Canis lupus familiaris: one gene and its partner. Each later gene encodes a partner of the first gene's protein in a complex. Links are inferred from orthologs where the notes say so. Each region holds a gene or a part of one and is shown on either strand. Other genes may lie near its edges.

Region 1 (6,837 bases):
CCCCCTACAATGGAATCACACTTAAATTTGTTGAATATTTTGTAACAGTTTTCTGTGGTTTTACTATAATCCTGATTTCCCTTGGTGAATAAAGTTTTGAGGTATTGGCAATTGTTTATCTTGAAGAAGCTTTTTATTGACTGCTCACCATGTGGAAACACCGGTGCTGGGTTCTGTGAGGCATATGAAACTCATTCAAACAAGATTCCCGCCTTTAGAAAGCATGTAGTCCAGTAGGAGCCAACCACGCACACATTCCTATAGGCTACCATATGACTTTCATGCTCTGGTTCCCATTCCTCATAGGGCTGACAAATCTATCTAAAACAAACAGCATCTTCTCTAAAATGAGATTTTGTACAGAGTGCTGCCAGCTGTGCCTTTAGAAGGCTCATTTGTAGGGTATTCTTTTATTTTAAAGTTGATATCAGTAACTACCTATCAGTTCTTTATTTTTGCTTTCTGAGAGAACTTCAGGAGGGAAAAGGCACTTTTTTTTTGTTCTTTGCAGTTCTTTAGTTGGTGAGGAAAATAAAAACCCGTGAGCAAGATGAAGTTAAGTGTTTCTTAAAAAGCATAAGTCTACTTCAGTAGAAGTTCATATATAGGATGTTTCATTTATATGTTTATGTAGTTAAAATTCAAGTGGATAATGTAACATTTTATGAGCCCTTTCCATGCACTGGGACTTGAGGAAAGGTTTGTTAATTCCTACTGGTAATCTTAAATGCTTTTGTTGTGGGGTAGATGGTCCACTTGAACTCAAGACCACCAGAAGCAGCAGCTCTTGAATGCTCTTAATAGACTTATAGTTGCAAGAAAGCAGCAGCTAAGAATCTATTTTTTAAAAGATTTTATTTGAGAGAGAGAGCACGTGTGCGTGCGTGCACACACACGAGCCAGGGCAGAGTGGTGGGGGGAGGGAGGGGGAGGGGGAGTGGCAGAGGAAGAGGGAGAAGCAGACTGACTCCCTGCTGAGCAGGGAGCCCTATGTGGGGTTTCATCCCAGGACTCCAGGATCATGACCTGAGCTGAAGGTGGACGCTTAACCTACTGAGCTCCCCAGACACCCTAAGAATATATTTTCTCGTGTGCTTATTAACAGTGCTTTATTTGTGTGGTTCTGGTGCGATGTGGTAGGAGACAAGATGAACAGGCACCCTTATAAGGGAGGTTTACCCTGTAAGTTAAAATAGAATCTTGGAAGCACAAAGAACTATCTTAGAACACTTAGTCAATGAAAGGGCTATCTCTCTCTCCATGACAGCATTTCTGTAAATAGGCATCTATGCAAAACCCAAAGCAGAAGGCTCTGGTCAGTACACTCATGATGCCCGTGCAGGACAGAGGAATGAGCAGTGTCTGATTGCATATATGTCAGAGGACTTTTCCTGCCCGTACAGCTGCTGTTATTGGGGATTCCCGGTCCTCCTTCCCTGCTTCCCCTCCCCTCTGCTCCAGCACAGTCCTACTGCTGCCCGCCATTCTCAGCCCTTTCCTCAAGCTGAAAGCAGGGCCGCCCTGTAGCAGTGGCTGCAGTCTTGGTGATCTAACTTTAATCCGTTTTGACTTTTTAAGATTTTGTAGGCCTCAGACAAGACTACTTTTTTTTAAGTAAAACTTTTTTCGGTATGTTGGCTTGTCAAAGCAAGAAATGTGATTTCTCAGGGTTTGTATTTAAAGGGGGCAAACCTGTTTTAATCATGTGTATGTTTGCAGGATGATCCATTGGTGCTGAATGAAATCAGAGAAGACCTTCGAGTAGAGTGTTCAAAGTTTGGACAAATTAGGAAGCTTCTTCTCTTTGATGTAAGTTCGTGGCTTAGACAAATGATTCCTAAAGCCAAGCATTCTTTCCCTTTGAGAAGTTATTCCCAGAGGTCAGTATGCCACAAATTTTGGATTAATGTTTTTCTATAGTAGGGCTGCTATCTAGTAGTAGTCATCTGTCAGCAGTAGTTAGATGAACATGGATTGTAAGTCAGGGCTTGCTAGACTTGGTATGCCTTGGTGATTTCCCTTTATTGCCCTAGAGTGTGTGATCAGATGAAAGGAGTACAAGAAAGACGTGTGAGATCTTGTGGTTCCCTATTTGCCCCCATTTACCCCTCTTGGTGAATTACTCTCCTCCTCCATATTTGAAGAAAAATCAAGCAAAATATTCTTCTCTATGTTCCCCTTCTTACTCTGTTACTTCCTAGATTGACACATACTAAAAGATTCACCATTTATTGATTGCATACGGGCTACTTTACATGTTACCTCATTTAGTTCTCATGATCTTTTGAGGTAGGTGGGTACTATTCTACCCATTTTACAGATGAGGAAGCTCGGAGTTTAGAGATTGAGTGAGCACCTTGCTCAAGGTCATTTAGCTGCTAAGTGGTAGAAGCATTTCCAAGAACATCATGCTTGGTTCTTGATATACAAGATTAAGCTAAAGAAGCAGCTAGCTTTGGGGTGCCTAGGTGGCTCATTTGGTTAAGTGACTGCCTTCGCTTGGGTCATGATTCCAGGGTCCTGGGATCGAGCCCTGCATCGGGCGCCCCTCTCAGTGGGAAGTCTGCTTTTCCCTCTGCCCCTTCCCCAGCTCGTGCTTTCTCTCACTATCTCTCTCTCTCTCTCTCTCTCTCAAATAAATAAAATATTTTTTTTTTTAAAGAAGCAGCTAGCTTCAAGTCACTGGCTGGAGTAAAAAGGAAGAATGGCTTCATACATAAAATCTTGAAGCTTAAGTTATCAAAGAACTCCACTACATACTTATTTTGTCAAATGTGTATGTTTTATTTTTAGTTTTATCATTCATTGCTGCCTTTTCTTCCCTTTCTAGAGACACCCCGATGGTGTGGCCTCTGTGTCCTTCAGGGATCCGGAGGAAGCTGACTATTGTATACAAACTCTTGATGGAAGGTGGTTTGGTGGCCGTCAAATCACTGCCCAGGCGTGGGATGGGACTACAGATTATCAGGTAAATTCTGCAACTATCAAGGGCACATAAATTGTAACATTACCAACAAATGCTGATCTAGTGGTTCTTCAGATGAGTTTTGGGCTCAGTTTAATCTGTTTAATGTAACAGTTCTTCTAAATAATACTTTGCATCCAGAGCATAGAAAGAAAAATGTTTTAGTTTTTCAGTTTATAAGCCTGAAATTTTGAGGTGTGCTCAGAATAGTGGTAAGTAAAGGATGGAGAGCATTCAAGTATTAACTTTTTCTTTGATTTCTTTATTTAACAATTCTGCAGGACTGTGGTGTTGGGCTTTTGTTTAAATGATCTTAAGCTCAACTCCCATTAATCAAGATGTAAAATTTTGAAAACTGAATATAGGGAAATGCTCTGATTTCCTAAGAAGAGATGCTGTATGAAATCAGGGTATTTGTGTCAGTATCAGAAGTGTGCAGAGAAGTTATTTATTTTTGCCTAAAACTCATTTTAATAGCAATTCCCCTTTCTCCACAGGTGGAAGAGACCACAAGAGAAAGGGAGGAAAGGCTGAGAGGATGGGAGGCTTTCCTTAATGCTCCCGAGGCTAACAGAAGCCTTCGGCGTTCAAATTCCATCTGTGCTTCGGAAAGGGCGGGGCCTTCTAGGGTAAGGCATTTTTCAGAGCGCCCTAGCACATCGAAAATGAATGCACAAGAGGCCACAAGGGAAATGGCATTTGAAGAACCCATCGATGAAAAGAAGTTTGAAAAAACCGAAGATGGGGGAGAATTTGAAGGAGATGCTTCGGAAAAAGATGCCAAAGAAAGTGGTCCCGAGAAAGAGGCTGAGGAAGGCTGCGCCCAGAAAGAATCTGAAGAAGGCTCCCTCAAAACAGAGTCTGAGGAAGGCTGCCCCAAGAGGGAGCGTGAGGAAGACTACCCAGAGAGAGAGTCTGGAGAAGGCAGCCCTGAAAAAGAGTTTGAAGAGGGCGGTCCTAAAGCAGAGTCTAAAGAGAATGGCCCTGAACAAGAATCCAAAAAGAAGAGGCTCAAAAATGATTATGAAGAGAACGGTCTTGAAAAGGATTCTGACCAAGATGGCCCCAGCAAGGAGTGTGAAGAGGAGAGCCCTCAAAAGGAGTCTGAAGAGGATGACTCGGAAAGGGAATCCGAAGAAGACTTCTCTGAAAAGCAGTTTGAAGACGGCTCTGAGAAAGAATTTGAAGAAAATGGCCTTGAGAAGGATTTTGATGAGGATGCCTCCGACAAGGAGTTCGGCGAGAACATTCTCGACAGGGAGTTTGAAGACAATGACTCTGACAAATCAGAATTTGGAGATAGCAGCTCTGAGAGAGTGTTTGAGGAGGAAGTCTCAGAGAGGGAGTTTGACGAAGAGTCTGATGACAAGGAAGAAGGGGAGGACACCTACGAAAAGGTATTTGATGATGAGTCAGACGAAAGAGAGGATGAAGACTATGCAGATGAAAAGGGGCTTGAAGACGTTGATGAGAAGATGTTCGAAGACTCGGATGACAAAGAAGATGAGGAAGGAGTAGAGATAAAGGAAGGTGAGGACGTGGATGATAAGATGTTTGAAGAGGATGATTCCAACGGGAAGCTGTTTGATGATGACGATGAGGATTCCAGTGAGAAGCTGTTTGACGACTCTGATGAGAGAGGGACAGTGAGGGGTGTGGGCAACGTGAAGGAGGAAGGGCCCCTGTCCACAGGCAGTAGCTTTGTCCTCAGTAGCGACGACGATGTCGATGATGACATTTAATCCCTTAAACTTGCTTTGTAGGGAGCTTCCTCCATCTGCATTCTGCCCGTGCTCCAGGGTAATTGCTAGTAGTGTTACATGAACGTGTGCCTAGTGGTAGGATGCCAGCAGAGTAATGCATTGAAGTTTTCACTGTCACCTGTACTTAATGATTTTAAATCTGTGTTAATTGGCTGTTCAGGTAAAACTTCATAGTATAATGCAAGTCAGCTGGATACTTGTCCTTTGTCCAATTTGTTAAGTGCATGCAGAATAATATTTTTTAAAGTATTCTGATTGAAGTTTGTGATATTCAAAAATAAAAATAAGTTGTTAATATGCTGAAACTGAAGAATTGGACTTGGCGTTACATTGCATTTGAAATTCTTGCTGTTGCTTCATTCATACTCAAGTGTGGTGTTTGTGAGGACTTGAAAAAGCCTTTTAGGAGTCTTCTTGCTCCCCACTGCCCTTAGCACTTAACATCCCCATTTCCCCTCCCTAACCCAGAACATGTTACTAAACTTATAAAGTAAATAACACTCTGGAGTTTTTCCCTGCCTAGTCCTTGCAAGTTACTTTCATTTGTTTTCTTTTCCACCCTCTGTCCCTGTGGAAACTGACTCTGAAATGTGCGAAAGTGAACTTCCTGAAGTCGCGGCTTTCGTTTTTGGAAATATGGAGGAGATGAGAATTCTCTTGTGTACTGCTTGGGTACCTTTTTAGAAGCTGATTGAAATCATTGGAGCTTTCCCCAGAAAGATGTAAGCACACACTACACAGCTTTTTTGTATACACTTCCCAGAGGTTCATGGATCCCTAGAGTTTAAGATCTATTGTGTCCTGCATATTTCGATTTTTTGTTCTAGATTCATGATGCCTAGTACTGTGCTGAGTTGTGTAGTCCGAATAAAAATTGGAGTCTTTCTTGATTGTGCTTTCCAAATTGAGTATTGGTGAAATGACTTCTGATGTAGAATTAAGAAGTAACTCTCGTGAATTAGAAGCATTAAAATAAACTGCATTGGTGCTTTTTCATTATACTGTCTGTAAGTGTAATCATTAACCCTCTTCAGACAAAAAAAAAAAAAAAAGTGTTCTTATATTTCACGCCAAAGCTGAGAATTTTGTAGTCGCTGGGATTTCTTAAAATCTCAGGATTTTCACCAGGGGTAAGTCCATAAAAGAGCTAAAGAAACTAAAATATAGAAAAGTTGCAGACCAAACTAGTGCTCCTTTAAAGGTAAGCCAGAAGCATTTAAACGTCCCATTTATTGGAGGATTGATTTCCTGAGCGGCAGGCTGCTGCTTCTCTTCATATACAATGGCTGGAACACATAACTAGAACACAGACAAGCTCCAAGACCGTTAGAAGGGGGCTGTTTTCTTTCTGACTTCTTTTCTCCCCTGCTCATTAATTTGGCTGATATCAAACACACTCTTTTTATATAAACACCCTGGAAGCAAAGGTCACAAATAGCTGTAAAAATGGTAAATCATTTGTGAGGTGATTTTGACAAGACATTAAGGCTCATGAAGCGCGCGCACGCACACACACACACACACACACACACACACACGCACATACACAGTCACCTGTTTACTAAGTCGGGTTTTATTGGTCCTGGCAGAGTTTATTGCAAGGCAACAATATGTCCTGGTAGCAAAAGAAGAACAATACAGGGATGGGTTTTAAGCACAGCAATGCTTAACTACCTGACAAAGTCTAAGCTTAATGTTCCTTAAGGCTATGTTGCTTACTTAACACATCCCACCCTGAATGCCTGAACCAGAAGTGGCTTCAAAGATGCCTTCAAATGGTATGAGTGCCAGCTCTCTTGAGTCTACAGGTGCCCTGGAGGAGTAAACTTGAAACTCCATGTTACAAAAGAAAGATGTTACTGGCCTTGCAATATTCACGAGACATTTGAAGTTACTACTGCTTTCTACAAAAGTAACCTGACAGAGTAAAATTGGGGCAATTTGGTTCAAAAGTCTGTTTTCCTTCTCCATTTGTGGTAACTCTAGGCTCTTTCTGAAGCCCAAAGTGACCATATCTGGTCCATTTGAAAGCCGCTGCCTCTTCCTTTTAAGAATGGAATCCGTTCTGGTATAAGTTGTTTGTGTATTCTGAGGCTTGGAGAAAAGGTA
Region 2 (7,412 bases), on another chromosome or scaffold:
GCCAGGGTTCCTGACACTCTCACGTTTTTGAGAGATACTCCTTGGGAGCGTGGAAAACAGAGTGGACAGGTCAGTGACTTCCATTTTTGAGTTGTCTTTTTGTCTCCTTGAGAAATAGCCTCTCAAGTTTAGTCTTCATTTATGGAAAGTGAGATCTGTGGCTGGGAAAAGGGGAAGTTGGTGCTTATTCAATATATGACTGGACTTTAACCCTACATCTGATTCCTGAAGGAAGAGGTGAGCTTTTCATGATTTCTCTCCAGACTTGGGAAAAGGATTTTTTTATTTAACCATCCTTTTTCTTGTTTCCTTTGTCCAGTTCAACTCCTATACACAGATCTATACCCCAGGGTATTCCCAAACTCCTGCTGGGAACTCTGCTAACCCACAGCTGTCTGTCTGGGACTGGGATTTACGCTATAGCAGTGAACAGATCCTACAATTCCATAATCCTGGCTATGACCCGGAACACTGCCCGGATTCCTTGCTCCCTAGGCAGCAGGTGAAGTGTCTACATTTCCTAAATTCCCTTGATTTTTTCATAGGCTCATCCTACTAGATAGGGAGAAGTGGAAAGACACAGTGTCTGAGTTCTCTAGGGAAAGCTGCCCCACACTTCTGTAGCTGTTACTTAGAGTCCCTGACTATCCCCAGGAAAGCAGAAATCCTAGAATAGCACAGAAGGGATCCTTCTTGTCCACATCTTTATTAGTTTTTCTACCTCTTACACACATTTAAAAAAAAAGATTTATTTGAGAGAGAGCGTGCATATGTGTGTGCCAGCCGAGGTGGCGGGGGGCAGACTCCCCATTGAGCGAGGAGCTCCATGTGGGTCTGGATCTCACAACCCTAAGATCATGACCTGAGCCAATATCAAGAGTTGGATGCTTAACTGACTGAGCCACCTAGGCACCCCTCTTATACACATTTTACAAGTTTCCCTAAAATTGACTTTAATCAGACCTGATGCTTAGTTTGAAGCCTATGAGGAGAGTAGATGGGGGAAGGCCTGTAGTTTGATCACTAATGCAGTTTGAGTAGGTGGAAGCTAGACATTCTTTCCTGACCTTTGGGGAAGGGGAGTCAGAGGTTTCTAGGTTGCAGTTGATTTCTTTTTTCCCTTTAGCCAAGCTTCATGGTTCCTGGACCCCCAAATTCTGTGTGGCTCTTCTCCAGAGGGGCCCTGACCCCACTGAATCAGCTCTGTCCTTGGCGGGACAGCCCCTCCCTGCTGGCAGTCTCTTCTCGTTGGCTCCCTAGACCTGCTATCTCCTCTGAAAGCCTGGCTGATCAGGAGTGGGGGCTCCCCTCACATTGGGGAGCTTGCCCTTTACCCCCGGGATTGCTGCTGCCTGGATATCTGGGACCCCAGATCAAGCTGTGGAGACGCTGCTACCTGAGGGGAAGGCCTGAGTTCCAGGTGAGGAGGGAGGACAGGGATTGGGAGTAGGAGAAGGGGCTTGACTGCTAAACCAGATGTTCTGGGAGAAACCAGATGTTTTTAGGAGCTGGAAAAACAAGGAGCTGGGGGGACTGAGGAGTGAATTATCATTCCTGTTGGTATCACAGTGGATAGGTTTAGGAGTGTGTGTGTATGTGTGGGATAGACTACTTGTGGTTCAGATCAAGTAGAGCCTAGAACATAGTTGGAGGGGGAAAGAGAATTAAAGACGCCAGAGGTGATGGGAACTAGATTTATGGGGATCACTTTGTAATGTATAAAAATATCAATTTTTTTGTATAAAAATTGTTTAAAAGTGTAATTTTATAAAATTTTATTAAAGTATTAAAAAATCACTAGGATGTGCACCTAAAACTAACAGGACATTGTATGTCAGTTATAATAATAATAAAAAAGATGCCAGAAGTAGTGGACACATCTCAGAAATAGGGAGCTAGAGCTATAATAATATTCCTCTCTGCCTCTCTTCACCCCCTTCTCAGAAAGGCCTCTCAGCTCCCACAATCTCTGGCCTCCAGGATGAGCTATCCCATCTTCAGGAGCTTTTAAGGAAATGGACACCAAGAGTATCTCCTGAGGATCACTCCAAGAAAAGAGATCCAAATACCATTCTTTCCCAGTCCCGTTGAAATTGTTGTCTTTTTTATGGGCATGGCAGAGGGGGTCCGGGGTGAGGGAAGGTTCTGTCTAATCCTCCAATTTTTCTTATCTTGGTCTTGCTGTCTCAGCTTTTGACACTCCAGCCCTCAACAAGCTCACTGACCTTTCTGTTGCAGATGGGTGGTGCTAACCTTCTCCAACTCTTGCCCTGTCCTGTTTCATTCTCGAGATATGTTTCTCATGATTTGAGGAATTAAGAAACAAAAGCAATCCAGAATACGATTACCTTTGTTCTTTTCAGGGCAATTCCATCCCTCTGGATACCCAGCCGATAAGCTGTGAGATGAGAGATGCTGTTCATCAGTTCAAAGGAGATGGCCTACAGAACTCATTCTCACCTCCTCTTGCTGCTTAATTCCAATTTCTGTTTCTTCCCTCTGGTTTTCTATGGGTATGCTAGTGGGTATGGGACACATCCTGTCTCTCCCAATTGTATATTTTGTAGTGACATTTCTATTTAACGAGTTCATTAAAGTACAGTTGCTGGCATTATCTCTGGTGTCTGAATAAAAGATCCTAAGTAAAAAAGCGATGATAAACCGGGAGAAGAAGGGACCCACCATATTATTGTTCAGGAAATATGGAGATAGGTCAGGCTGTCCACACTAATCGTTTCGTAAGATGGGGCAAAGAGCATGCAAAGACATGGTTGGTGGGCCCGGGGTATTCTGGCGGTTGAAACTGAGGCCCCTGGGCTGCAATGTCAGGTACCCTCAGCTCTGGGCACACATCATCTCTGAGCCTCAGGTTTCCATCTCCCCCATGCAACAGGATCATGTGAGCTCCGACGCCACTCCAGCTCAGACACTCCGCAATCCTCTCCCCAGAAGCCGCGGGCCACGGTGGAGGGCTGCCTCCGCACCCTAAGGCAGCCGAATCCTTGGGTTGGAGGGTTTCCTCAGCACACCCTTCTCCGGGGAACAAAAGGATAGTTTGCCAACAAAATATTTCTAAATAAAGTTTTGTTCTTTTAGCTTTTGAGTTTACATTTTTAGGAGTACTGTGATCCTTTAACGTCCAGCACTGCCTTAAGAGGGTCTGGGCATTTCCGTTCGGCCCTCATCGCTTTGACCGCTAGCAGCGGCAAATCCGCGCAGAACCACGGACCGGAGAACGCGGCCCCACAAGCCGCATCAAGTCTCCGCAACTCCTAAGATGGCCGGGGCCTCTTCCGGCTCCTCCCCCATCAGGCCCCGCCCACCGCCCTCGTGACTACCTTCGCCCCGGAAGTGGAAGTACTGACTGAGGTCAGAGGGCGGGATCGCTGCCTGGAGACGGCGGGAGCTCTTTCGCCATGGCGGCCGGCCCGATCTCCGAGCGGAACCAGGGTAGTTGGAGGGGATGAGGCCAGGGAGGCTGGGAGGCCTCGAGGAAGGCCAGCCGTGTTTTCGCCGGGGCAGGAGATCGGATCCCCCCGGAGGGCGCGAACCCGGCCCCCGTGCCGGCTGGGGGTGGGGTGGCCGGGTGCAGGCTGAGGCCTGTGGTTGTGATGCTCTGTCCAATCTCCTGCGCCTTCCCATTCAAAAAAACAAAACAAAACAAAAACCCAAACGAAAACCAAAAACAAAGCAATTCACAGAGAATTTGCAGCAGAACCTTCAGTTAGACTTAAGAAGGTTCTTTAGTTCTGGAATGAGAGAGATGTAAGGGCTTACTCTCACGTCTTTTTCCTTTTTTGTTCCTATATCCCATCTCCACTCCCAGTTCCCCCGCCTGTCACTTCCTTCTTTCCCGTCGTTGTCTCATCCCTGCCATAATCTGCTCATTTCTCTTAGATGCCACTGTCTACGTCGGGGGACTGGATGAGAAGGTTAGCGAACCCCTGCTGTGGGAGCTTTTTCTCCAGGCAGGGCCAGTAGTCAACACCCACATGCCAAAGGATAGAGTCACAGGTCAGCACCAAGGTGAGTACATCACAAGAGGCGTGTTTATGCATTGAGGGGACAAGCTGCTCCTGGAGGGTTCCGGCAGTATTCATAGGCAGTATTCATAGCCGTTTTGGAATCACCTGTAGATTCTTCCTTTTAAGTGTCATTCAATGTTTGCTTCTGGAACCATTCCCAGTTGAAGTGAGGTGGTTATTTCATGTTCTTTGTGCTTTGGAAGGTGCATGAGTTACACACGAAATTGAATCACTTCACTTAAGTTAATCTCTGCTTTTCTACTTCCCAGGCTATGGCTTTGTGGAATTCCTGAGTGAGGAAGATGCTGACTATGCCATTAAGATCATGAACATGATCAAACTATATGGGAAGCCAATACGAGTGAACAAGGCATCGGCTCACAACAAGAACCTGGACGTGGGGGCCAACATTTTCATTGGCAATCTGGACCCAGAAATTGATGAGAAGCTGCTTTATGATACTTTCAGCGCCTTCGGGGTCATCTTACAAACCCCTAAGATTATGCGGGACCCTGATACAGGCAACTCCAAAGGTTATGCCTTTATTAATTTTGCTTCATTTGACGCTTCGGATGCAGCTATTGAGGCCATGAATGGGCAGTATCTCTGTAATCGCCCCATTACTGTGTCCTATGCCTTCAAGAAGGACTCGAAAGGGGAGCGCCACGGCTCAGCAGCTGAACGACTTCTAGCAGCCCAGAACCCACTCTCCCAGGCTGACCGCCCTCATCAGCTGTTTGCAGATGCACCCCCTCCGCCTTCAGCCCCCAATCCTGTCGTATCATCATTGGGGTCTGGGCTCCCGCCACCAGGTAAAGCTTTTATTCAAAGTATTTTTGTCTTGGGCTTGGGGTGTGGTGGTGAGCGGGGGCAAGGGGAGGAGAAAAGAACTTGATAAAGGGGGACATGGAGTCAGTAGGTGATGAGAAAGAGAGTGAGGGGTGACAGTTGTGGGGAGAAAGTTGTTGAGTTGAAGAGGCTGAAGTTGTTCCTAGTTATCTAGTATTGCTTCTGATTTTAGAGAGCTGGGAGGAAGGGAAGAGAACTTATCCTGCCTGAGGAGGCCAGATTGAACGGGCTTTCTAAAGACATTCTCTCCTTACTATCGTTAACTTGTCTTTCATTTCCTCTATAGGCATGCCTCCTCCTGGGTCCTTCCCACCCCCGGTGCCGCCTCCTGGAGCCCTTCCACCCGGGATACCCCCAGCCATGCCCCCGCCACCTATGCCTCCCGGTGCTGGAGGACACGGTCCACCATCAGCAGGAACCCCAGGGGCTGGACATCCTGGACATGGACACTCGCATCCTCACCCATTCCCACCAAGTGGGATGCCCCATCCAGGTGAGTGTTCTTTGCTGGGGAAAAGGATAGATAAGCTTGTTGGAGGAGCTCCACTGCCACATGCAGTGCTGCCCTCATCCCTCAGCAGTAATAGTAGATAGTCCCGGAGCTCTGCTTTTTTTTCAGACATTCTTTTATAAAAACAAACACGAGACACTGTTCTCTGTTTACTTTAACAGCTACCACCCTGTCTCCATTTATTATACAAGTTTTTCCAAAGAGTGTAACTGTACTCGTTTGCTTTTTCCTTTAACTTTTACTTCATTTTTCTCCTCCGACTTCTACCCCAAAGCAGTGACCTAATTGCCAAATAGAGGGGGCACTTCCATTCTTTACCTGGTTTGCCATTTGGTGTACTTGAAACTGGGTGTGTTGTCCTTTTTGAAAAGCTTGCCTCTTGGTGTTTCTGGATTTTTCATCTGTCTCAGACTCCTTAAAGTTAGCCACATTAGGGATCCCTGGGTGGCGCAGCGGTTTGGCGCCTGTCTTTGGCCCAGGGCGCGATCCTGGAGACCCGGGATCGAATCCCACATCGGGCTCCCGGTGCATGGAGCCTGCTTCTCCCTCTGCCTGTGTCTCTGCCTCTCTCTCTCTGTGTGACTATCGTAAATTAAAAAAAAAAAAAAAAAAAAAGTTAGCCACATTAGTAGGCTTTTCTCCCTCTCCATGTAGCTGGGTTTTTGTATCTGGTTCTCTTTTCTTTTTTTTTTTTTAATTTTTATTTATTTATGATAGTCACACAGAGAGAGAGAGAGGCAGAGACACAGGCAGAGGGAGAAGCAGGCTCCATGCACCGGGAGCCCGACGTGGGATTCGATCCTGGGTCTCCAGGATCGCGCCCTGGGCCAAAGGCAGGCGCAAACCGCTGCGCCACCCAGGGATCCCTCTGGTTCTCTTTTCTTCATAGTTCCCTTACTTGTACACTGATGCCACCCAGATGTGGATATCTGGTCTGTGACCCTTAATCCCACTGCCTGATGGACAGCTCCACTTTGCTAACCTCCCCTTCACACCTGTTGTTCCTCTAGCATTCTTTGTTTTCAGATTCTTAATTCAGAAATCTGGGACCTATTTTTAACTGTTTCCTATCACTCCTGTACTAGATATCAAATCTTACTAATATATCTGGTATTGGCTCTCACTGCTAGTGCCCTAGTGCAGGCCCCCTCATACTCATTTCACACCTAATTTATTGTAGTGATTTTCTAACATTTTGACTTCAATTTCTCTTTGATCCACTTGCACAGAGTAATTTTTCTAAAACACAATGTTCACACACTTTTGCTCAAAATTCTATTGTTGCTCTCTTTTACGTACAGCATAAAACCCAGACTTGTCACCATAGCATTGTAGGCTGTTTGTGATTGGTGCCTGCTAGTTACACCCATGACTACATGCTGCTCTTTATTTCTGAGTTACCAGTTTTCTCTGAACATACATCCCTGTTTGATGCCCTTGTGGTTCTCACATGCTAATATTTCCTGCTTGGGGAAAATTCTGTTCCATGCTCTTGTCCACCCGAAAAATTCTTATTCGTTCTCTAGAATTAGATCTTTGCTCAGACAATGTTTCTGCTACTTTCCCGAATTCTGTCAGTGAAATAATCACTCCATTTGTTACATAATTCTGCAGCACTGTTATACTGTCTAAATTGTGGAAGGAGCAAGCAAAGTGGGCAAGCAGTTGATTGGGTGGGTAGTTGATCTGCTTGTACCCTTGGAATGAGGATGAGGGTGGAGGGCGCTTTGTACCAGCCTTATTTTCCATACTCCTCTTTTTTTTTTTTTTTTTTTTAATTTTTTTTTTAATTTATTTATGATAGTCACAGAGAGAGAGAGAGAGAGAGGCAGAGACACAGGCAGAGGGAGAAGCAGGCTCCATGCACCCGGAGCCTGATGTGGGATTCGATCCCGGGTCTCCAGGATCGCGCCCTGGGCCAAAGGCAGGCGCCAAACCGCTGCGCCACCCAGGGATCCCTCCATACTCCTCTTTTCCTGATGTCACTTCTTTCTCAGTTTTGTTCTCTTCCTTTCTCCATTTTCTTT

What was found. The genes of interacting proteins can lie anywhere in the genome.
Region 2: HTATSF1 (region 1) and SF3B4 share a complex: the UniProt entries of both Homo sapiens proteins name them as parts of the 17S U2 SnRNP complex. The link is inferred for Canis lupus familiaris from reciprocal best matches to the Homo sapiens genes HTATSF1 and SF3B4.

What each region holds. Positions count from the first base shown.
Region 1 is NC_049260.1:107,813,655-107,820,491, forward strand, and holds the end of HTATSF1 (HIV Tat-specific factor 1), read left to right. Parts: intron 1-1,719; coding exon 1,720-1,809; intron 1,810-2,830; coding exon 2,831-2,968; intron 2,969-3,462; coding exon 3,463-4,707; 3' UTR 4,708-5,727; downstream 5,728-6,837. UniProt on the Homo sapiens protein: Component of the 17S U2 SnRNP complex of the spliceosome, a large ribonucleoprotein complex that removes introns from transcribed pre-mRNAs.
Region 2 is NC_049238.1:59,866,555-59,873,966, reverse strand, and holds the start of SF3B4 (splicing factor 3B subunit 4), read left to right. Parts: upstream 1-3,293; 5' UTR 3,294-3,416; coding exon 3,417-3,450; intron 3,451-3,897; coding exon 3,898-4,026; intron 4,027-4,294; coding exon 4,295-4,837; intron 4,838-5,160; coding exon 5,161-5,367; intron 5,368-7,412. Other genes in the region: MTMR11 (myotubularin-related protein 11), read left to right, coding at 1-69, 320-502, 1,127-1,420, 1,945-2,091. UniProt on the Homo sapiens protein: Component of the 17S U2 SnRNP complex of the spliceosome, a large ribonucleoprotein complex that removes introns from transcribed pre-mRNAs.